4 linked regions of the Oryctolagus cuniculus genome follow. The protein of the gene in region 4 interacts with the protein of the main gene of each other region in a pairwise test. Links are inferred from orthologs where the notes say so. Each region holds a gene or a part of one and is shown on either strand. Other genes may lie near its edges.

Region 1 (5,868 bases), on a different chromosome or scaffold from region 4:
GTTTGGTTTGTTCTGATTTGTTGTGTTTTTTTCAAAGGAGCTCCTCGGGCTCTGGAGGGGTGAGGTGCACCTTCTGAGAAGTGAGGCTGAGATAGGCAGTGCTGAGCACCAGCCATTTGAGCGTATTTGACCCTCAGTTCTTTCTGTAGTTCACTCAAAATCTGATTTTAAAGTGTGCTGATTTTCGGGCTCATATCCTTAGGCGAACCTAGCCCCCATCTGTACATTAGGGAGGAGAGTGACCTTTTAAGAGTCCTTGGGTCTCAGTTTATCCCAGAGGTGACCTGTGGTGCTTGTTGCAGCTCCCTGGGGACAAAGAGTTTGTCTCATGGCAGCAGGACTTGGAGGACTCCGTGAAGCCGGCGCAGCAGGCCCGGCCCACCGTGATCCGCTGGTCGGAGGGAGGCAAGGAGGTCTTCATCTCTGGGTCCTTCAACAATTGGAGCGCCAAGATTCCACTGATAAAGAGGTGAACGCACGTGTCTTGGCTGCGCCTTCGGGGTCCGGGGTAGAGACCTGATTTCCTTTCTTCCAAGAGAGGTGGGCTGGCCTGCTCTTCTCCAGCTCCTGGGGCCTGTCTCTGAAGCATGCCCTTGGCTGTGAGCATTTGCTCTGCACATGGCGTTTTGCTTCAACCTCACAGTGCGTGAGAGAGACTTTCCCACTTAGAACATCACCATCTCAGACCAGCTATGTGGGTTCCTTCTTTAGGGCCGAGTTACACAAGCCCTTCCTGTGCTTGTGGGAAGCCTTCTGTAACCGGCTCTGTCCTGTTGCTCTGTCTATTGCACTAAAGCAAAACACACTGTAAAGTTCTAGATAGTATAAGCATGTGTTAATTGCAAAGCAATAATGAACTATTTACCTGTCAAAATCGCCCTTAATATAATAGTCATTTTCTGGAAAAGGCTGACCAAAACATGGAAAGCACACCCTGAGTCCCTTCTGTATCCTGAACCAGCCGTTACCTTCTTCACACGTGAGGAATCCATTATGCTGACACGATGTAGTTGTACTGGGATGAATCATTTTGGGAGAACGGTGTCTTTAGTATTCTTTTGCAGATATTGGTTAAGAACTTAAGTTATTGGCAGGGGTTGGCAAATACATGTCCAAGGTGACATAGAAAGAGAGAATGAGTTTATAAATTACTTTTTATGCCAGACAATACAGTGGCTTAGAAATAAGGGAGGCTGTGGCCCTGATACTGTGAATGCCACTTGCTTTTACATTCTGCCTTCCAAAAGGAATTGGCCTGACGTTCTGTTTCCTTTGGCAGCCATAATGACTTTGTTGCCATCCTGGACCTCCCTGAGGGAGAGCACCAATACAAGTTCTTTGTGGACGGACAGTGGGTTCACGACCCATCCGAGGTAAGGCCTGGATCTCCAGGGGTGGCCGTGGGTGCAGCATTCTCATTTTAGCTGTCGTCACTGTCAGGATGGACAGGCCACAGCTCCCCTGCACTGCAGGATCTCTCTCCATAAAAGATGGGGGTCCGAGTATGTTCACTGGCAACTCTTTTAGAAAAAGAGAAAGGAAAGATTGGGTGGAAGAGAGATTTGAAAAGGGGATTGAGTGATTCGTTCTATTCACTGTTTCAGCCCGTGGTTACCAGTCAGCTTGGCACGATTAACAATTTGATCCATGTCAAGAAGTCGGATTTTGAAGTGTTTGATGCCTTAAAGCTAGATTCCATGGAAAGCTCTGAGACGTCTTGTCGAGGTAATTTTGTAGTGTAAGCTCTTTCTGGCTATATTGTCTTGTAATTCATGTTCTTTCCCATAGCAGTTTTGTATTTTGTTCTGTTTTTCCACTTCTCCTCAGGAATCTTCTGAACCGTGTGTGTGTGTTTGTATCCTGTATCTATAGGTATACATAGCCCCCAAAAGAGCGTTTTGCTAACTATATTCGCAGTTACGGTTTTGTTTCTCTGCGGTAAAGGCTATGACTGTCCAAACAACTGTGCACTGTATTCCCAGGGAGCACACTTCCCTCTCGTGAGTTCAAAGCCTGCCTCTGGTATTAACTAGTTTTACCATCTCAGACAAGTCCCTGGACCTTTTTGGTTCTCAGTTCCTTAACAGTAAGAGGCAGGTGCATAGACTGCCACTGATGCTCAGCAGTCACCACACCTGAAGTGCATATTAGGATCTCAGATCATAATATCTAAAGGAATAGTCAGTAGTACAATCATTATCTGTAGAAGAGAATTTGGAACTATTGTTGTTATCAAAAAAGCTCAAAAAGTTGGGGCAATGATTTAAAAGGGTTTAAAAATATTGAGTTAGATTATGAGGCTACTTGTGACTACATTTTACCTTATATGATCTTGGCAAAGCAACCAATGAAAAATAGATATATAATTACAGAGAGAGAGGACTACCATACTATTGCTGGTTCTCTCTTCCCTCTTTCACCCAGTATCTGGTCCACTGAGGTAAGACTTCGAATGTATTTTTTTAGGAATCTGCAGGTAAAGATTTCATCTGTACTCATTTACCATATAGTTTGTGTTGTGACTTTGGGTAAATCACTTAACCAATTTGTATTTTATTTTTCTGATGAAAAAGAAATAAAAACTGTTCTAGGTACTGCCCAATGATGTTTTGTGGATCATGTGACAAAATAACTGAAAGTATTTTAGAAAATTTCAAATTCTATATGTTTTTAAGATATTGCTTAATATCATAGTGTTATTACCATTTTTTTTGCCTTAGCTTCATATGTATTTAACTCCTACCTGAGTACTTGTAATTAACTTGTCATTAAAATATTTTTCACTGGGGACTATGAGATCATAAATTTTTAAAATAAGAAATATAGATATTTTCATTTCTGTATATTTCCTTCAACTCTTGTGTGCTTTTCTTTTCCATTTGAGATATGCTAGAGTATGTCCCAAAGTTTGTGATAAAAATGAAATGAAGAGATGTTTATTTTGATGCAAAAAATTTGAAATCCATATATAGTTTTTTCATAATATGATTTTCCATGAACTCTTAAAAATTCCATTTACTTGTTTTATTTATTTGTGGGGCAGAGAGAGCCAGACAGACAAGAGCTTTCCCATTTAGTTCACTCTCCAACTGCCTGCAACAGCCAGGACTGGCCGGGCCAAAGCCAGGAGCCGTGAACTCACTCCGGGTGTCCTGCCTTAGTGACAGGGACCCAACTACTTCAGCCTTCGCCGTTGTCTTCCAGGGTGTGCATAGCAGGAAGGTGGCATCAGGGGCTGGAACTGGGACGCAAAGCCAGGCACTCTGATACGCAATGTGGCATCCCAAGCAGTGTCCTAACTGCCGTGCCTAACAATGTCCCATCCGTGAACTTCTTGAAGACTACTCAGATGCATGGTTTTTAAATTTTTTGGCACTAAAATAAACTTGTAATTCCACAAACTTTTTGAAGTACTCCCTTTTGAAATGTACAATTCAGTAATATTTTTATATTGTTGCAGTTTTGCTACCATCACTGCTGTCTAATTCCAGAGTATTTTTATCACTCCATAAAAGAAACCTCACACCCATTAGCAGTCATTTCCTGTTCCCACCTCCCCTCCACTACTAGTAACCACAAATATACTTTCTGTCTTTATGCGTTTATCTGTTTTGGATATTTCATACAAATGGATTCATACAATATGCAGTCTTTTTTTTTTTTTTTCCAAAAAAAAAGCTTTATTTATTTGAAACAGTGATAGAGAGAGCTTCCATCTGCTGCTTTACTTCCCAAATGGCCACACAGTTGGAGTTGGGCCTGGCGGAAGCCAGGAGCCTAGAACTCCATCTGAGTCTCCCATGTGGGTGGCAGAGGCCCAAGCACTTAGGCTATCTTCCATGCCTTCCCAGGCACAGTAGCAGAGAGCTGGATCAGAAGTGGAGCAACTGGGATCGAACTAATGCTCTGATATTGTTGCAACCAACTTAGCTCACTGTGCCAAAATGCTCGTCCCAGAATGTGGTCTTCCCTGTCTGACACTTTTCACTTAGCATGATATTTTTGGGGTTTATCCATGTTGGAACATGTGTCCATACTTTACTGCTATTAAAGTTGAATCAAATTCCATTCCATGGTCATCACATTTTGGTGTCCATTCATTAGTTGATAGACATTTGGATTATTTTTTTGCTTTTTAGCTTTTATAGATGATGCTGTTACGAACATTCATGTACAGATTTTTTGTGTAAACATGTTTTCACTTTTCTGTGCAGAACTGGGTCATGTAGTAACTTTATATTCAGCTTTCTGAGCAGCTGGCAGTGGGAATAGCGTGAAGCTTCCAGTTTCTCCACATCTTTGCCAACACTTATTTTTTTTATCATAACCATCCTTGTGAATATTCAAAGTATCGTGTGTTTTTGATTTGCATTTCCTAATGACTGCTTCATATGTTTGATCTTTATTACTGAGATCATTGTAGCATCAGGTAGTCTTTAAAGAGTTTATAACCTTGTTTTCGTTTGCTTGGGTGGGCAAGAGAAGTCTGATCATTTCATACTGCTTGGAAATTTACAAAACTTTTTCATGTCCATTATCTCATTTGATTTCAGGAAAAGCATTGTGAAATAAGGCAAAGATTTTAAAAATTGTGATGGCTGTGGAAACCAGCCATAGTGAAGGGGTTTGTCGAAAGTCACACAGCTAATAAGTGGAGCAGCTCTTCCCCGAGCCTAGCTCATTGACTCGTCGTCTTCTGCTCCCTGTGCCCTGTTGTCGCCTAGAGGAACCTCATGTTCTCCTCATGTTCTGTGTCCAGGATGACTCAGGCTTTCCCTTTGGCTGCCTTACAGTTGCAGACTCAACAGGTCACAAACTCATGATCCGTGACTGTTACTGAATTTTTAATATTAGCTACCATGCATTGATGGCTTTTTTTCCCATGCATTGTTACAAATCCTCTGTCCTCCTCTCATATTTATATAAATATGTTTCAGACCTTTCCAGCTCACCCCCAGGGCCTTATGGTCAAGAAATGTATGTGTTTCGATCTGAAGAGAGATTCAAATCGCCACCCATACTTCCTCCTCACCTTCTCCAAGTTATTCTTAACAAGGACACTAATATTTCTGTGAGTATCCAGAGAGCATTGCTGGAGCATGTGGGGGTCTCTAGGACCATTTGGGTCAAAAGTTATTAACCCTAGAAGTTAGGATTGTTACAAAGGGGTATTGAGGTTATAAATCATGTGTATCTCAATAGTGTTGTAGGCTCAATTCTGACTTTTTCATGTCCTGGTATAAAAGTGAATCATTGTTTGCTGGTCCTAGCAAAATCAGGACTAGAGAGTTATGTGTTGCTAGAATTTCAGGACTTCTGTTCCAACACAAGATAAAAAGTACTTATCAATTTTTTGCATATACTTTACATCATTATTCAGTGTACCTGGTTTCCACTAAGGTTATTTTTGCATGTCAACATAAATTTGCCATATGTGTTGTGAACAAGATTTTTGTTTTAGCTCTATTAAGGAAGATTAGTAGATGTTGAGGTCTAAAATTTCTACCTGGGACTGGGAATTTTCCTTAATGGCAATGTATTACTGATACGTTCTGGGGTGTGTTATTATTTAAAGGAGATAGTGTGTTCTAGCTTAGAGTTCTCAGCGGTTCCAGGGAAGAATACAGGGATAGAAGAATCAGAGGAACAGAGGACGAGTGAGGTGTTTGGGTTGTCTGCATTTAACTCCACGTAGTGATGTTTTTCTGTCTTAGTGTGACCCAGCTTTGCTCCCTGAGCCCAACCACGTTATGCTGAACCACCTCTATGCATTGTCCATTAAGGTAAGTAGTGGCCCTGGCTCTTTTTTTTTTTTTTTTTTTTCCAAAGATTTTATTTGAGAGTTAGAGTTACAGAGAGAAGTTGAGA
Region 2 (5,868 bases), on a different chromosome or scaffold from region 4:
TTGTGGACTGTGAGCATCTGAAGTGGTTTCTTAACCCACCCTGGCTCACAGATTCTGGCTGCAGATATGGCATGTGGTTCTGAGTAGAGTGTGTGCTGGAGGGATGACTTTACATTTTCTCAGAATATTGGTTTATTATCTACTTTCTGCACATAAAAGTGTAGCTAAAAGTTTGGCTTCAAATGAAGTTTGCAATAAAGGACTAGCATTTGTCAAACATTTCCTTCCTATGTGCTTGGGACAATGCTGAGTGATTTTTCTGAGTTTTCTTATTTACTTCTTGTATCATTCTTGTGAATTTGTTTTTATCATCTCTGTTGTACACAAGTAGGAACCAAGACTTATATAGATGACTTTCCTTTGTCATTTGGGTTTAGGATTCACTGACTGCATTCACCATCATATTCTTCCTTTCACTTAACATTTAGGGAAGTCTTTAAGGTGAAAGCAAATGATTTATAGGGAATTTTCATGCATCCTCAGCTCTGGGAATTTTCCCGATGCAGCAAGCAGTAGATGCTTTTCATTTTTGTACTCTAAGACCCTAAGGAGGTCTAGTGAAAGACCCTCATGAATATTAAACACCTAATTACTTATTGGAGTGACACTGCTATATAAATACACCATGTATGTATTATTTGAAAAAATAAGGCAATATCACTTGGGTCACACTTAAGTCATTTAAGGACATTAAACAATATTTGGGGACATGGAAAGTAAAACATTAGAAGTCTGTTTTCTAACTTGAGTTTGAATCTAACAAGCCATTTAGTTTTTTCCCAGCTCTGTCCCAAGATGAATGGAGCGGATTGAGTTAGAAACTTGTGAGATTCAATTTTTGCAATCTGGAGTCTCTCCTCGGGAAAAATACATATGTAAAATTTGCCTATCATTCAGGGGTTTCATGGGCCTCTTAAAGTCTCTTGTTGTTTCTAGACTTTTATCAGAATCCTTGCATTAGTTAATCTGTTGCATTTCATTTCTTTTTATGAACAGCAGACTCTTATGGCCGTGTTGTCTTAAGAACCTTTGTAGATACAGTCCTTTGATACAGAGATGATGAAATTTGGAGGATTGATGCTATCCAGATCACATTGGCTCAATGCACTAGGATAATTGCAGAATATAGGTTACAGTGTTTTGAGTGGAAATTTCTAAAGTGGTGACTGTAGAGCTGGGAAAACAGCAGGTGGATTTGTAACTGTAGGCTTCTGCCACTGACTAACATGGCAACTTTCTTAACCTTTCTAGCCTCAGTTTCCGCTTCTGTGTAAGGAATGGCCGTGTCCTGTTACTATGTGGTATTTTAATGAAGTAACAATCAGCCCTGAAGGTAAATCAGCTAATAGATGAGAATGTGCCTGGGTAATGTTCATCATGTTTTCTTGGTGTTTAAAAACCTCTCAGAGTAACTCTGGCAGGAGCTCTTGATGAGGCAGGTCACTTGGGACTCTGGGAACTTTGTCACATGAAATGGTGAAGCTGTGAGACCTGGAGAAACAACTTGAGAAAGGGAGATGAACATTGCTATTGCTAAGAGATGAAACTGGCTTAAATTTTTGGAAAATCAAAGGTATTTGAACCAGTGTTCTCCAAAGAGTTAGATGAACAGCAAAGACAATCTGTTGATGAAGGAATCTGCTAATTCATTGGTATAGTTTGAATATGATTTGGTTTCAGAACTCCTGAAGGTGTTCAACCCCCAAAGTTGTAAGATAGTGGTACTAAGAGGGTGGATATTTGTCTGGTTATGGTGTTTAGGATGTGGGGGCCTGCCAAAGGTTTGTTTTTTTTTTTTTTTTTTTTTTTTTTTTTTTTTTTTTTTTTTTTTTGACAGGCAGAGTGGACAGTGAGAGAGAAAGAGAGACAGAGAGAAAGGTCTTCCTTAGTCGTTGGTTCACCCTCCAATGGCCGCCGCGGCCGGCGCACCGCACTGATCCAAAGCCAGGAGCCAGGTACTTCTCCTGGTCTCCCATGGGGTGCAGGGCCCAAGCACTTGGGCCATCCTCCACTGCCTTCCTGGGCCACAGCAGAGAGCTGGCCTGGAAGAGGGGCAACCGGGACAGAATCCGGCGCCCCGACCGGGACTAGAACCCGGTGTGCCGGCGCCGCAAGGCGGAGGATTAGCCTAGTGAGCTGCGGCGCCGGCCCAAAGGGTCTTTAGTTTGCTGGGGCTTGCCCTGGATTGGTCATTCTGGAGAAAGGAGTGGTTATAAAGCCTGAGAAGGGCTCAGTCTTTTCCTCTGCTTCCTGGCTCACTGTGTGCTCCTTCACATGTGCTCTGTCATCGCCATCTGCTGTCTTCTTCAGAGGCCACATCAGTGAGGCCATCTTGTCTCAGTCTTAGATCTGCCAGACTATGAGCTAAGTAGCTTTTCTTTTCTTCACTAGTAGATGTTCTCATGTATCTCATTGTAATAATAACGAAAAGCTAATACATTCACCTAATAAGTCTCACATCTAATCAAAGTTAACATCCAGTACCATCAGAATCTGCAAATTTAACATAGAAATGGGAAGCATTTAAGAATATTTATTCACTTATTTACTCTTTCTCATTGTGCTGTACACAGGCACAAAAGTATTTTGAAAGAGTTGTGTATCATTTTCACATTAACAAATACAGCATGTTTTTGTGACTGTTTGAGTAGTCTGGAGAACTTGATATCTCCTCTCTGCTGACTTCTCTTCAAAGGATCTTGTCTAATGTCTTAGGTCTATAAAAACTAAGTCTGGTTTTCTTTCTTTGAATTTCAATTTGCATTTCTCTTTTTCTAGTTGGATTTTAGGCATTTATTTATTTTAAAGATTTATTTATTTATTTGAAAGAGCCATAGAAAGGGAGGGAGGGAGGGAGGGAGGGAGGGAGAGAGAGAGAGAGAGAGAGAGAGAGAGAGAGAGAGATTCCATCCTCTGATTCACTCTCCAGATGGATGCAAGCCAGGAGCCAGGAGCTTTTTGCAGGTCTCCCACATGGGTAACAAGGGCTCCAAGACTTGGCCCTCTTCCTCTGCTTTTCCCAGGCTATTAACAGGGAGCTGGATTAGAAGTGGAGCATCTGGGACACCACTGGCACCCATGTGGGATGCTGGCCTTGCAGGTGAAGCCACATATGAAACCATAAGTCTTGTTAATGTCTGGTATGTAGGTAATCTATTTTGTTTTGTTCTCATTTTCAGATAGAAGAATTTCGAAGGCTGCGGACTCATGTTAAAGGTGCAGAACTTGTGGAAGGCTGTGATGGGATTTTGGGAGACAATTTTCGACCCACTCAGCCACTTAGCGACAGAGTCATTAGAGCTGCATTTCAGTAGCCAGAGAGAAGAGGAAAAAGTCCATCTTCATCAGGGTATGTACAGGCCAAGTAAAGAAAACATGGCACACAGTTTGCCACACTGAGCATGCGGGAGTCACTCTTGTGGTCACCTTGCTAACTTACCAATGCAACAATTACACTTCATTTTGATAAGACATTACAAAGCCTCACTGAGTGTAAGTCAGATGATTATTTTAATTTCCTGTAGTGTTAAAATAATCTAGTATTCTACTGTTTTCCCACCAGAGCAGCCTTTAAGTCCAAGTTTTCCTTTAATATTTGCTTTCATAAAGAAAGACTTTCTGAGACAGAGAAATGGTGCTAGGTCAGAGTCTCTGGTAATTTATGCCGTTGCCTTGTTAAGGCTACAACTGTCAGTTCCCACCAGCCAGGAGCACATGTGAAGAAGGGGCCTGTTGAATCTCTTGTCATACATGGATTTGATTATCTTGTTTATTGGGGTAGATGAGAGAAGATGCTGGCATAAATCGAAATCCTTGACCTATAAAAATATTTTTATTTGCTAGATAAAGAAGTACATATTAGCTATCTGAATATGATATTCTTATTGATAGAAACATAAGCTATATTTTAATGTATTGAATTCAATGTATATATTGCTACCCTTAAAGAGCCAACAAAATAAAACATCACAAACATGGGAAAGATGAAATGTATAAAATGACTACATATTAAATTATTTCTTTACTTTGTAAATTGTCTAATAGTGCAAAGGACTCTGAGAACACATTGAGAGCCAACCTTTGCTTCCCATAAGGGGAAAGAACATGATGGATGATTTTCTAAGGGAACAGAAAAGAGCTGTGGCTGTTTATTGCACTACTGGGAGTAATGTGAGTGCCACTGTGGACTAGGGAGTCTTAGAGATATAAAAATCTCTAGCATCAAGGGGCTCACCATCTGATGAACTAGATGAGTCACATAGGATTTTTTTAAAACACAATTTTATTTGTTATTTGAAAGAGTGACAGAGAGGAAGAGACTGAAAAGATAAATCTTTTGTCTACTGATTAATTCCCACAACAGCCAGGATTGGCCAGACTGAAGCCAGGAGCCAGGAGCCAGGAACTTCATCCTGGTCTCTGGTGTGGGTGGCAGAAACACAGGTATTTAGACCATCATCTGCTGCCTCTCAGGTGTATTGGCAGGCAGCTGGATTGGAAGTGGAGCACCTGGGATTCAAACTGGCATTTTGATAAGGTATGTGGGTACCCCAAATAGATGCTTAACCTGCTGTGCCACAACACCTGTCCTGATATAGGAATTTTTAAAATATACACTCAAAAATATATGATTACAGAGGCCGGCACTTTGGCTCACTTGGTTAATCCTCTGCCTGCGGTGCCAGAATCCCATAGGGGTGCCAGGTTCTAGTCCCTGTTGCTCCTCTTCCAGTCCTGCTCTCTGCTGTGGTCTGGGAGGGTAGTGGAGGATGGCCCAAGTGCTTGGGTCCCTGCATCTGCATGGGAGACCAGGAGGAGGCACCTGGCTCCTGGCTTCAGATAGATGTAGCTCCGGCTGTAGTGGCCATTTGGGGAGAGAACCAATGGAAGGAAGACCTTTCTCTCTGTCTCTCTCTCTCACTGTCTAACTCTGTCAAAAAAAAAATACAATTACAATTGGTCATTTTCCCAATGTGTTTCCTAATCCTTTTTCTTGCCTAGGTAGAGATGTCAGTTTCTCTGTGACTTCTGTGTCCACAGTGCCACTCACATGGTGTGTTACCATGTTATATGAAGGCTCTTCAAAATTTTCATAAGAAATGTGTTTTATGAAAAAATTGTGCATGGATTTGAAAAATTTTTTGCACCAAGATAAATTTACCTTTTAATTCTATTTTCCATGAACTATTTTAAAGCATCCTTATAGGGACCCTGTACTCCAGCCAAACTCCCTTTCATCTTCTGTGAATTTTATCTTCTCTCCTTTCTCAGTACTTCTTGGCCTTCCTTTGGCTGTTGAAATCCTAGCTATAATATAGCTCAAATATAGCTCGCTCCATGGGTCTCTGCTTCTCCCTTAAACTGTACCTTTCATTACACTTTCTTTATTTCACCTAACTGCTTTTTACTTTTTGCTATCATATTCCAAGCTTCTTAATAGTTGTCATGTTTATTTTATGTTTTTTTCATTATTATATCATCTTTTTATTTCTCATCCTCTCACTTTCCTTCTGCTATTCTTTAACCACTCCTCTTTCACCTTCTTCACTCTTTTTTAAAGCTTTTATTTAATGAATATAATTTTCATAGGTACTTTAGGAATATAGTGGTTTTATTCCCCATACCCATCCTTCCTCCCCTACTCACATCCCACCTCCTACTCCCTCTCCCAACCCATTCTTCTCTAAGATTCATTTTTAGTTAACTTTATATACAGAAGACCAACTCTATATCAAGTAAAGATTTCAACAGTTCACTCACATACACACACACAAGGTAAAAAGTACTGTTTGAGAACAAGTTTTGTAGTTAATTCTCATAGTACAACTCATTAAGGGGTGAGGTGGCACATGGGGAGTAAGTGCACAG
Region 3 (5,868 bases), on a different chromosome or scaffold from region 4:
TCTGTGGTGCTGGACAGTGCTGATACACACACGAGTGTGCGTGTGAATGAGTTAGCTGGCCCTTGTCAGTGAAGAAGAATGGGAGGTGGTCCCGGAAGCCCCACTGCACACCTCGTTCTTACACGTAACCCTCTTTTATTACCATTCCTCTGGGTGCTATACGCTACGAGGTGGATGTGACAGATGAGGAAACTGAGGCTCAGGAAGTTGAATTGTTCCACATAGGTAGTCACTAACTCTTTTCTGGCTGCAAATGTTGTACTTTTAATAACTATAACATTTCTCCGCATTTTCAGCTATAGAAGGAACTTTTTGTCTCTTGTCTTTTTCTTTTCTTCAATTTCAGAATTGATAGGCACATATAGTCATTGACTGATAAGTCCAGTGGCTCAGAACTCTTAAGAGAATGAGCCTCTGGGATAGAGCGGTCACTGTTTCCTGGGGAGAACGTTGTGTGTTGTAGGAGGGGTGGCAGGTGGGGGCGGTGGTGGCAGGCGGGGACCAGAGGAGGCTCTCCCCTGGCTTTTCAGGAACATATGGTTACCCCTGTTTCTGGGCTGGGCCTCATCAGTGGCTTCAGGGCATCAAGTCTTACTCTTGCTTCCTCAAAGCAAGACCTGGGGACCACAGTTCTCACTGTGTTTGAATGATTGAGAACTGCCGTCCTCACGGGAAGAAGGGCCAGGAAGCAAACAGGGTAACCTTTCAAGGTGACGTAAAATAATAATTATATATATATATACTTTCCATTATTTGAAAAGCAGAGAGAGAGATCTTCCGCCTGCTGATTCATTCCCCAAATAACCTGCAGCAGTAACCATGCTGAAGCCAGGAGACTGAAACCCAAGCTGGGTTTCCCACGTGGGTGGCAGAGACCCAAGTACTTGAGCCATCAGGGAATTAGAAGCAGAGCTAATACCTGAACCCAGGTGCCTGCTGGCATCCCAAGCAGGGGCCAAACACTTGCCTCCACAGCTTTTTTTTTTTTTTTAAAGATTTGTTTATTTATCTATTTGAAAGGCAGAGTTACAGAAGGGCAGAGGCAGAGAGAGAGGTCTTCCATCTGCTGGTTCACTCCCCAAATAGCTGCAATGGCTAGAGCTGGCTGATCTGAAGCCAGGAGCCAGGAGCTTATTCTAGGTCTCCCATGTGGGTGCAGGGGCCCAAGCAGTTGGGCCATCTTCTGCTGCTTTCCCAGGCCACAGCAGAGAGCTGGATTGGAAGTAGAGCATCTCGGTCTTGAACTAGCACTGCAGGTGGTGGCTTTACTTGCTAGAGCACAGCGCCAGGCCCGATGCCTCCACAGCTTTTAATGAGATTTTGGTTTCTGATTTTGTTAGCAAGCAAATACATTTGAAGTATCTTATCATGAGTTCTAAACTCCACAACCCTTGGGCAAAGGAAAGATGCTAAAGAAACATGAAAATCTTACCTTTGGTCGTATTTTTAATCTTGTTGCTCAGATCTTATCGGAGTTCCTTTATGAACACTGTATACTCCACCACATGAAACAACTTCGTGAATCATTTGTGTGTTTATTAGCTGTATGGCAGACCAGTGATGCAAATCCAACTAAGCATTTGAAGGGACTGCAGATCTTTTCAGAAGATAAATCTGAGCCTTTCAAGATAATAGTAATAAGAAGGCATTGGGATAAAATTTCAGGCAGAGAATACCACCTAATGGTGATAAGGAGGAGGTGAGCCCTCTGTATCTAGTAACTGCCATTGTAAATGAATGATATCATCAGAAAATTGTGTTATTTATAATAGTTGTGAATTCAAGTTTCTAAGAATATATATTTTTTTGCCACATGATTCTAGCATTCTTCCATTAAAACGTCTCCAAAACCTGTGGGCTAACGAAATAATTGCCTGTGTCCCTCAGAACTGAAGTCTTGTGCCTGTTGCTTCAAACGTGGGTCTGGTTTATCTCTGTAGAAAATCAGTTAGTGTCTTCTCACTGCTTTACTGCAACCTCTAATTCTGATGTGGAATGATAGAGAAGGAAGTATTTCTGATATTTCAGTCTTTGGAAGGTGTCATGTAAAAGCAAGTCAGTTTTCCTAGTTAACAATTATGAAGAGGAGTTTGATAGTTTTCTAGCATGCTTATGAGAGTGAGAAAAGTTGGCAGAGATGGGAAAGAGTTAAAACCTCTCTGAGATGTCTCTTTGCTGCAATAAGCATCTTTATTTATTATTGTTATTTTGGGGAGGGCAGTTGAGTCTAGATAATTCTGTAGTTGAGTAAAGTAGGGACATCAGCCCGAGCGGATCCTATTAAGTCAATGTGGATGCATATTTTATAAGCCTGGAGGGGAAGCGAGGATAAACAACGTTTTTAATTTCAGGTTGAGTCCTGGGCTCGCATCCACATCTGTATCTTTTTTCCTAGTAGGAACACTGAATCTAGGCCTCACCACCATTGCAAAGTTTCATGGAGGAGGACTCTCCATGTAAGGTGCTAGGCTAAATAGGATATGATGTAACTTTGGGAGTTTTCTTTATATGTGACAAAATATTCTAACATCTGCATTTCAGCACTCAACAGTAGCTGTAAAAAACTGCTCTAAGCACACTTACCCACATATTGTATAATTCCACTTGAATTAAATGTCCAGAATTGGCAAATCCATTGGAAAGTAGATTTGTGGTTAACCGGGTTGAAAGGAAGGGATTGGGAGGAAATGGAAAGTGCCTGCTAATGGGTTTGGGATTTCTTTTGGGGTGATTAAAATCTTCTGGAATTAGATAGTGGTGATCCTTGTACAACTATATGAGTATGTACTATACTCTCAAAAAAATTAAAACTGAAAAAACCCTTGGTCCATGGAGGAATGAACAAAGTCAATAAAAAAGTGACTGTGGTCAAAATTCTTTCACTTGCATTCCAGTAGAAATGTTGAATCATAATCTAACGATCACAGCTTGGCCCTAAATGTTGTTGTAATTTATATATTTTATCGCCCTGTTCCTGACCTTCGCAGGGCCACGATGGGCCTCCTGGAACATTGGTGTCTTCATCTGCATTCGCTGTGCTGGAATCCACAGGAACCTGGGGGTGCACATATCCAGGGTAAAATCAGTAAACCTCGACCAGTGGACTCAAGAACAGATTCAGGTACTTACGCAGTCCGAGAGTCAGCCACTCCCCTATATCCACGTAAAAAGTTCTGGAGGAATTTCAGTTCCTGGGCACAAAAGGGAAGATAAAAGAGAATTTAGTTGTTAAACACTTACATGAAATTCTTGCATCTTTAAGAGACATTTTATATCTTTCTGTTTAAGACACAAGATATTCTATCCGTATTTTACCTGCTTCAAAACACAAATCAACTGTGGTCTAGGACCCCATGTACCCATGGCGATATTAGGAGGAATCTTTGGTCTATTTTCTAATACCCTCGGCATTTACAGATCTAACATTTGTAGTTTTAGGTACTTACTTAAAAATAATCTCCAAATCATAGACTTAGGGTAATACAGCTAAAATGCATGCATGAATATTGCTTGCTGTCAGCAAGGTGAGCTGGGAGTGGGACATTTCTGTTCCTGAGTCTGCCTGGCCTAAGCCTCGGTGCAGCTTCGCTATTCTTTATTCTCTTGTTACACTGAACAATACTGAAATACCTTCATTTAAAAAAGTGTGTTTTTCTTTGTTGGGAGGAGGAAGGGAAGTCCCAGAGAAAACCAGTTGCTAAAGTTGGTGATAGAAATAAGAGGTTATTCTTAATCAGAAAATGGCTTTAGAAATTGTTTGAGACTCTCAAGATTCATTAAAGGTCTAAAAGGCAGAAGTACATTTCACAGTTGTAGTTTATCCTACAAAGGAAATGACATGCCATGGACGTTTTGGGAATATGAAGATCTAAAAAGCTCTTGGGGTTTATTTCTCACAAGTGTTAAGGGGGCTATTTCAAAAACTTAATGGGAAACATAACGTTTATTGGTAATAAAATGGAATAGGTTAATTAGTAGTGAAAACTTAGAGTTGTAACACTGATTATTGCCTCCCAGGGAGACATTTTGGTTGGTAGCTATATATGTTGGACATCCAAATAAGATCTTGAATTGTTACTGACTTAAATTCTATCTTGGCAGACAAATCTTTGAATAAAAGTAACCCGTGGACAGGGAGAAAAGATAGTTACTGGGGCAAATGAATGTGAGTTCCTGGTAGGGTAGAGAGAATCATAGACTGGAAATAAGAATGCACAAATTAAAATCTTGGTTCTTCCACTCTCTGGGTTGGTTCTTCGGTGTACATGGGTGGAGCTGGGTGAGACGTTTTCCAGTTCTTTGCTGCTCTGACATTCCATGTTTCTACGTTCTCTTTGATCGCAGTGCATGCAAGAGATGGGGAATGGAAAGGCAAACCGCCTTTATGAAGCCTACCTTCCTGAGACATTTCGGCGACCACAGATAGACCCGTATCTTTTCTGGAGCAACCTAAAAGGCAGAGTGGTATTTTGGTGTTTGGAGTCAGACCAGATTCAAGTCTGTGATCTGACTGGGCTGTCTCTGTGTTGAGTAGTCCGAGTTCTTGCTTTTCCTCTCTCCTGCAACCATGACATATAAAAAGCACATGTATACTTGCTAACCTCAGAATTACCGTGTAGTCTCATGGCGGGAGGACTCACTCGGGCATCAGGATGCCACGATTTCACTGTGAACCCTTCCATAATGCAACATCTCCATTAGTGTTTGGATCTCTGAAACTATTGTTGGATAAAAAAGAATAGTTTACTGGTGCTCTGTTCAACTCTTGCAGTCAGCAAAACTGCCATTCGTTTTATTGCCTTTGTGTGGCCTGTGTAAAACAATTCACTATTGGTAACCAGTTTATCAGTAACTTTCTCTTTCTCTGCACCTGATAGACAAAACCAAAACCCCTAAAGGTTTTGTGCATTTCAAGATGTAACTTGTAGACCATCTTGTTAAGAGTTTTGCTTTTCGGTGGGTTCAGGTGGAACCTGTTAAATACAGAGTTGAATCCCTGCAGAAGACCCCATGATCAGAATCTGGCAGTGGGCTCAAGAGTTTATCTTTTTAAGGGGCATTCAAATGCCTTTGTTTGAGATCTTTTGACCTAAAGAGTTTTAAAATAGATCACTGCCTGTGTTCCCTGTGTTCTGGAAGTCGTACACACCTCTGATGTCCATAAAGGTGAATCCCACTCGTTGCTGCTGGCACCCTAGATGGAAATCCTAGGAAGTCATTCTCCGCAGTAACCTTGAAGGAGGCAGCTTGAGGTTTTGGTCAGGGAAACTGCAAATGGAGAGACAGCAGCCAAGGGGGGAACCAGGCAGGAAGGAAGAAGAACAAAGCTCCGTGGAATACAAATTGGCTTTTTGTATTCTTACTGTTGGAGAGGCTTGTTTGATTCATCCTTAATAAGCTTCTGGCAGAGCTGTCGAGGGATTTATCCGAGATAAATACGAGAAGAAGAAATACATGGACCGGAGTCTGGATATCAATGCCTTTAGGGTTGGTTGCAAACCTTTCAAGGGTTGTTCAGAATAACTACTTTGTTTATTACTTACATCATGGAAAAGTTTGAAAAACTGCTACCAAAAATACTCCAAACTAATCTTTAAAAGGCCAAAGTAGGAAAAAGCAGTTGTTGTATTGAGGCCAGGAGAGTATGGGCTTTTAGCCCAGTGGTTAAGATGCTAGTTAGGATACCCATGCTCCACATCTGAGTGTTGGAGTTCAGCACTTGGCTCCAGCCATGACACCAGCTTCTTGCTAGTGCAGACGCCGGGAGGTAGCAGTGATGGCTCAAGTGATTGGGTTCCAGCTACCCATGTGGGAGAATTAGATTGAGTTCCTGGTTCCTGGCTTTGGCCCAGCGCAGGCCATTGTGGG
Region 4 (5,868 bases):
AGGAAGGGCAGAGCTCAGTGTGAGGGGGACAACAAGCCTACCTGAGCGCTTGATGGGCACCTTTGTGTAGTCTTTGAGCATCAAGTACTTGACCAATTTATTTGCCTGGGAGAAAAGAAATCACTAGTTACATTTGAAGAAAACCCGGTTGAATTATAGATGGGAAGATGACAAAGAGTAAAAGAAAGAAGTGAGTGGGGAGGAAGAGCTCTTACTCTTTCCTGAAGAAGGGCCACATCACGGGGCTGGGAGGCACCCGGGTTCTGTGAGGCACGCGAGTTGGGAGAGGGGCGCAGGTTAGGCGAGGGTCTCAGGTTCTGCCAGTCAGGAGGAATTGGCCAATCAGCAGGGATCCAGTCAGGTGGAAGTGGCCAGTCAGGTGGGAGAGGCCAATCGGTGGGAAGTGGCCAATCGGGAGGCAGTGGCCAGTCAGGAGGGCCTTGCCAGTCTGGAGGGCCCTGCCATCCCGGTGAGGTCTGCCATCCAGGTGGGGTCTGCCATCCAGGTGGATTCTGCCAGGCCAGTGGGTTTGGCCAGACAACTGGGCCAGGCCAGACAATGGGGTTCGGCCAGATCACAGGATTCTGCCAGATCACTGGGTTTGGCCAGATCACCGGGTTCTGCCAAGCAACTGGACTCTGCCAGGCTGGTGGGGTCTGCCTAGCTGGGGGGCTCTGACGTGCTGGTGCGGTCTGCCTGGTTGTCTGGTTTTGCCAGCCTGATGGGTTCTGCCAAGCCAGTGGGGTCTGCCAGAGCACATTGGGTGGTGCGCCAGGTGGGTTCTGAGTGGTTACTGGAACCGGTGCAGACCTCCAGGTCCCTGCAGACAGCGGGGCCCGTCTCTGATCGCCACTGCTGTTTTCTTCCACATTCAAGTTATTAATCTGCATTATCAGAGAGAAGGAAAGTCCAGGGTCACAAATTGATTCTGTGTCCTCACCCTATCTATTTCAGGAAATCCCCCTAAACCCTCACCTGTAACGACAGCCTGACCCACTAGCCACTGGTCACCCTGAGTCCTGGGCTTGTCTTTCACTGTCTTCCAAGCAGGAGTTGCATCTCCGAACCAGGCCAGGAGCAACCCAGGGGTGGGGCCTGAGGCTTCTTCTCTTCCTATGTCCACCACTCGCTCTGCTTGTACCACCCTGAACAAATCACTCAAGTCACTTCACTTCTCTGGGACTGAGTTTCCTTCTTTGTAAAACTAAGACTATGGTCCCCAACTGGTAAGAGCTGACTTCAAAATTTAATAAGATAACTTGTGTGAACTAGCTCAAGATTTGATACATGGTGGTTACTATCCAAATGTAAACTGAATTACATACAAGTTTGATATTTGCTTCCATATGTTAACTCCCCATCAGTCTATGGACACTCAGAGGACAGAAAAAAAATTCACTTCAACATTATCTACAGCTTAGCTAAACAAGGCAGATCTATATCTATTGATAAATATATATATATATATTTTAGAACAAGTGAACAATTTCAGAGAAGAAAGGAGAGAGCCCAAAGCAAAGTGACGCTAGTGGGGATCTCACCTTGCGGGTCCTCTTGCCCCGTATTATAGTCCGGGACTCCAGATTCTGAGCCTGGGGTCCATCTGCTGATGTCTGTGCAGCTGCACCATCAGATTCAGTGATACCTGGGTTGGTCTCTATGTCTGCCTGGGAATTGGCCATTTTGGCCTGGTTTACATTCTGGGTCTGGCTGTCAGCTGTTGGGACCTTAGTAGTATCATTCCAAGCCTTGAAGGCTGTCTTAGGTCGGTTATTGGCCATCTCATTGACATTGAAAGACTGAGAGAAATTGTAAGTAGCATTTGGGCCTACCTTAGTAGTGGCATTCTGGGCCTTAAAGGCCATCTCAGACTTGTTAGCAGCTAACTCCCCAGTGGCCGCTGCCTGGGAAAAGTCATAAGCAGCATTTGGGCCCTTTGGGGTGCCATTCTGGGACTTAAAGGCTGCCTTAGGCTGAGCACTGGGCATCTCCTTGGCATTATGTGTCTGAGAGAAATCATAGACACCACTTGGGCCCTTTGGGGTGGCACTCTGCACTTTAAAGGCTGTCTTAGGCCTAGCAGCAGCTGCTGAGACCTGAATATCAGCGATCTCATTGGCAGTAGGGGGCTGTGAACTCTGGGGACTAGCATTTGGCCCGCTGGCAGCTGCTGTGGCCTGGTTGGTAGGTGGAGCCTCTGAGATCTGGATCGCCTCCATCAAGGTCTGCATAAGCAAAGTGCTGTCTTCTACAGAGGCCTCCGTCTGCAAACACAGGAAAAACAAATTTAATCTCTGGGGCTCAGGTTGGGAACAGCTGGGAAGGTGCAGGAGGATGGTTGTTGCAAAAACAGGGCTATGGCAGGAACCCAGGGAGCAGGCAGTGGGCAAAGGGAGGCAGCGTGAGTACAAAACATGTGGTGGACTGGTGCAGGGCAGGGGCAAAATGACAATTAGAGCAATGTGAGGAGTGGGCACAAAAGCAAGCAAGGTCTGAATCAGTGGGGTTGGAGCGGAGCTGGTAGGGAGTGCAGCAGGAGCTCAGTTTAGGAGGCGGAGCAAGGAGTTGAGGAGAGTAAGGGGGGGGGGTCGCAGCAAGTCAGGAATGCGGGACAGAGGGAGGGTGGAGGTGGGAGGCTGGGGGAGGGGGTGACAGACTGCTCTGCACTCCAGGCCTATGGAAAAGAAAATGGTTCCTTTACCCAGCCCGCATTCTCTGGGCAGATTGCCCCGACTACTAACAGGGTCTCCCCTTTCTCTAAGCAGGGACTGATGGCTGAAAAGGGATGCTTCTTTCCCCTTAGATAAATGCCGCAAATTTGAAAAATGGCAAAGTCTAGGCACGGAAGAGGGCCAAATCAGATCCAGGTGTTGGGCTGATGAAAGGGGCTGGGGGGGAGGGGAGTGTCGGAGGGGAAATGCTGGGGTGAGGAGCGGAGATCTCACCTGGAAGCCGAGGAGGCCTGCACCACAGTCCATTTTCTGAGCCATGGCTCCTGTCCCTCTGGCAAGAGCAGAGCCTGGGGGTTGAGGGAAAGGAGCTGGGCGTTATACTACACAGGGCAAAATACGAAGAGCCAGATCGGAGCGGAAGGGGAGGGGGCAGGGGTGTGCCGTTTGGTTGTGAAGTGGCTGAGGTGCTGGGTCTGAGGAGGAACGGACCAGAGCGGAGCGGGACACGTGAACGGGCGTCCAGATGGAGATTCTGAATTCCGAGAAGCAACTAACAGGGCAAAAGCTTCAAATCAGGGCTCGGGAGACAGATCAGAGTTCTGAACCCGAGGGTGGGGCGTGGTGGGATTCGCGTTCGGGAAGTTGAATGGAGATTTTTCAGTCAGGAAGAATCTCCGAACAGTACGGGTCAGTCAAGAAATCGTTAAGGACTCTGTGAGGACCTCTGAGAGGAATTGGTCAAGGGTTCAGAGAGCACACAGCGGCTCTGAATCAGAAAGGATCGGGTGGGGGGTGTAAATCGGGGTTCCGGCAGTGGAAGGGGGGATTCAGAAACACGGGGTTAAGGGATGGGGATAAATGGGGGAGAGACCCGCACCGGGGGACAGACGCCCTCTCTGGGAGCTAGCTCTCACCTTGCCTCAGGCCCCAACCCCAACCCCCTCGTTGCCTCCCTTCTTCACGACTGAGAGGATCAGGATTGCTGCGCTTGGCTCTCAGCAGCCGCACTCTCTCCTTGTCTAGGAGAAAATGCCAGCGCGGCAGCTTGGGCGACCCCGCCTCTTCGCCTAATATACCACCCACTACCTCAGGAGGTTACGCGCATGCGCCACGACTGGGCGACCAACTACAAACCCGCCCACTTTCCCAACAAAAGCTTCGTCCGGGAGAGCAGGACACACATGCGCATTGGAACGCGGCCCCGCCCCCTTTGCCAACACACCATCCCACCACCAACCAGGTCGACAGTATACAACGGTTCCTCCTCTTCCTCCACATCCCCTCCCCCAACAGAAGCGCCATGCCTCTTGGTCCCACCCCTTGCCCCGTACACCGGCCCCCTACCTTTTCCGCAATGCGTCTCTGTTCAATCCCTCCTCTATTCAAGGCACCTCCCATCAGGTCGGCCTGCAGTTCCACCCCCTTCCCAGCACAGTTTAGGTCACTATTAAGGAAGTGTCTGTGGAGAATCTCTAATTGCAACAAGTGCTAGGCCCCTGCTGAACTCATCTGCTTTGCAACCCAGGGAAGGAAATGGCCAGAAAATACACACTATTGGAGTCTGTGCCTGCCACGTGACCACATGCACCCCTCACTGGCTTCCAGACTCAGATTAGCTCCTTGCCTGCAGCCCTTTTCTGAAGCTCCAGTCAATGTAATCATGTTGTGTGCATTGTGGGAGAGAAGGACACAGCTTGTACAAGGCGACTTCCAAAAAGTTCGTAACAAACAAAATTGAAAGATAAGCTTATTTTGGTGCCAACGTATTTTTTGAAATACATGCAGGTTTCCCATACTTTGCATTCCCATGAACTTTATTGCAGAACCCACTTACATCACAGCAAGATCTATGCTGAGGCTTATTTTCTTCTTAGAGCAGCCCTAGAAGGTGCGTGTCAGCACCCCCATTTCAAAGACCAAGAAGTTGAGGTGCAGATACATTGCTCAAACTAGAGAAGGCCAGAGAGGCACCAGAAAACAGAAAATGCAAACTTTGGGCCTGGGCTTTCATAACTCCAAAGCCCAAATTATGCACTTTTCATTCCTCCACTTCAGCCCCTGGCCTCCCCTAACCCTAACATCTGTCCCAAAAAAGCAAACTTTGTTTTCTAGGAGGCCTAAGCTCATGTTCTGCATTCAGGAGGGCACAGGATAAAGCCCCCAGCCCAAGGAATTGTTCCTCGGGGCCCACTCTCAGCTCCCAATGTCACACAGGACTCTTTCCTCTGAGTGACACAATGATGTTGTCCCCAAGATTTTCTTGGTGCCTGTTTAAATGGCCAAGACAACCAGGCACTTGTGTGTCTGAACCATGGCAAACTCTGGTTCAGAGTCAATGTTTGCCCTACTTCCTTCCTTGGCTGAGGTTTGGGATCTGGAGCAACTGTGGTATTGAGGAAAGAGGCTGGACTGATTTCAAAATCCCAAGAACAGAGTGCCCAGCCTGTGTGTCACTAGCGTGAGCTCACTCAAGACACTCGATCTCTCTGAGCTTGTTTTCTCAATATGCAGAACAGAAAGCATAGTATGTGTGTCCTACCCAAGGGCACACATGCTCCACTGCTTCCAGAATTGGAGAAACTAAAAAAAAAAAAGTCAGAAAATCATATACAGATGTGAGGAGGCTCAAACTAAACTGATACTTTTCCAAAAACTCAAAGCAGATCTTTGTGCATTTCGCATTCCTTCTTATATGAGGTCCTGCCAGGAGCCTGCATATGAAAGGAAGCTAATACCAGGAAGGACTGCAGCACTTGGTCCCCAAGGGCCAACATCAGTTCTGCTTGGCTGGATGACTTTCCTCATCTGTTGCATAGCAACCTCCCCTGTCAGCTGCCTGTTTTTCCTCAGCACTTCCTCTGTAAAGTGTCTGCAGTGGGACGTGATCAGACTCAGGAAAGGCGGTCTGAAACACCATGTTGTTGCTATCTGCTTCCATAGCTCCATCTCCAGTCCTGACTGGCCCTTGAATTCTAGATCCATAATCCAACTGTCTGCTTTCATTCTCCAATTGGGTATCTCTTAGTATCCTCCAGTTTAACTGATCCCTTCAAATATGTTCTCCTCCCCACCACCTCCTTTAGTTATTCCCTTTTTCCCCTTTAGAATGGAAACTTCTTGGGGAGATGGATTTTTCTTTGCTTCATTGTATCCTCAGCACCAAGAATGATGCCTAGCACACTTTATATGCTCAAAA

Evidence for each region.
Region 1: the proteins of MAGED1 (region 4) and PRKAB2 interact in binary tests that used the Homo sapiens proteins (3 or more experiments, as listed by UniProt). The link is inferred for Oryctolagus cuniculus from reciprocal best matches to the Homo sapiens genes MAGED1 and PRKAB2.
Region 2: the proteins of MAGED1 (region 4) and CA8 interact in binary tests that used the Homo sapiens proteins (3 or more experiments, as listed by UniProt). The two-hybrid records come from large-scale screens. The link is inferred for Oryctolagus cuniculus from reciprocal best matches to the Homo sapiens genes MAGED1 and CA8.
Region 3: the proteins of MAGED1 (region 4) and SMAP2 interact in binary tests that used the Homo sapiens proteins (3 or more experiments, as listed by UniProt). The two-hybrid records come from large-scale screens. The link is inferred for Oryctolagus cuniculus from reciprocal best matches to the Homo sapiens genes MAGED1 and SMAP2.

What each region holds. Positions count from the first base shown.
Region 1 is NC_091438.1:50,121,841-50,127,708, forward strand, and holds part of PRKAB2 (5'-AMP-activated protein kinase subunit beta-2), read left to right. Parts: intron 1-302; coding exon 303-469; intron 470-1,279; coding exon 1,280-1,373; intron 1,374-1,604; coding exon 1,605-1,725; intron 1,726-4,937; coding exon 4,938-5,071; intron 5,072-5,714; coding exon 5,715-5,783; intron 5,784-5,868. UniProt on the Homo sapiens protein: Non-catalytic subunit of AMP-activated protein kinase (AMPK), an energy sensor protein kinase that plays a key role in regulating cellular energy metabolism.
Region 2 is NC_091437.1:85,551,270-85,557,137, reverse strand, and holds part of CA8 (carbonic anhydrase-related protein), read left to right. Parts: intron 1-3,179; coding exon 3,180-3,314; 3' UTR 3,315-3,349; intron 3,350-5,868. UniProt on the Homo sapiens protein: Does not have a carbonic anhydrase catalytic activity.
Region 3 is NC_091438.1:132,488,221-132,494,088, reverse strand, and holds part of SMAP2 (stromal membrane-associated protein 2), read left to right. Parts: intron 1-2,987; coding exon 2,988-3,121; intron 3,122-4,344; coding exon 4,345-4,430; intron 4,431-5,408; coding exon 5,409-5,487; intron 5,488-5,868.
Region 4 is NC_091453.1:36,322,578-36,328,445, reverse strand, and holds part of MAGED1 (melanoma-associated antigen D1), read right to left. Parts: intron 4,201-5,868; exon of another isoform or gene 4,017-4,200; intron 3,821-4,016; exon of another isoform or gene 3,587-3,820; intron 3,020-3,586; coding exon 2,946-3,019; intron 2,265-2,945; coding exon 1,542-2,264; intron 885-1,541; coding exon 216-884; intron 106-215; coding exon 42-105; intron 1-41. UniProt on the Homo sapiens protein: Involved in the apoptotic response after nerve growth factor (NGF) binding in neuronal cells. Inhibits cell cycle progression, and facilitates NGFR-mediated apoptosis. May act as a regulator of the function of DLX family members.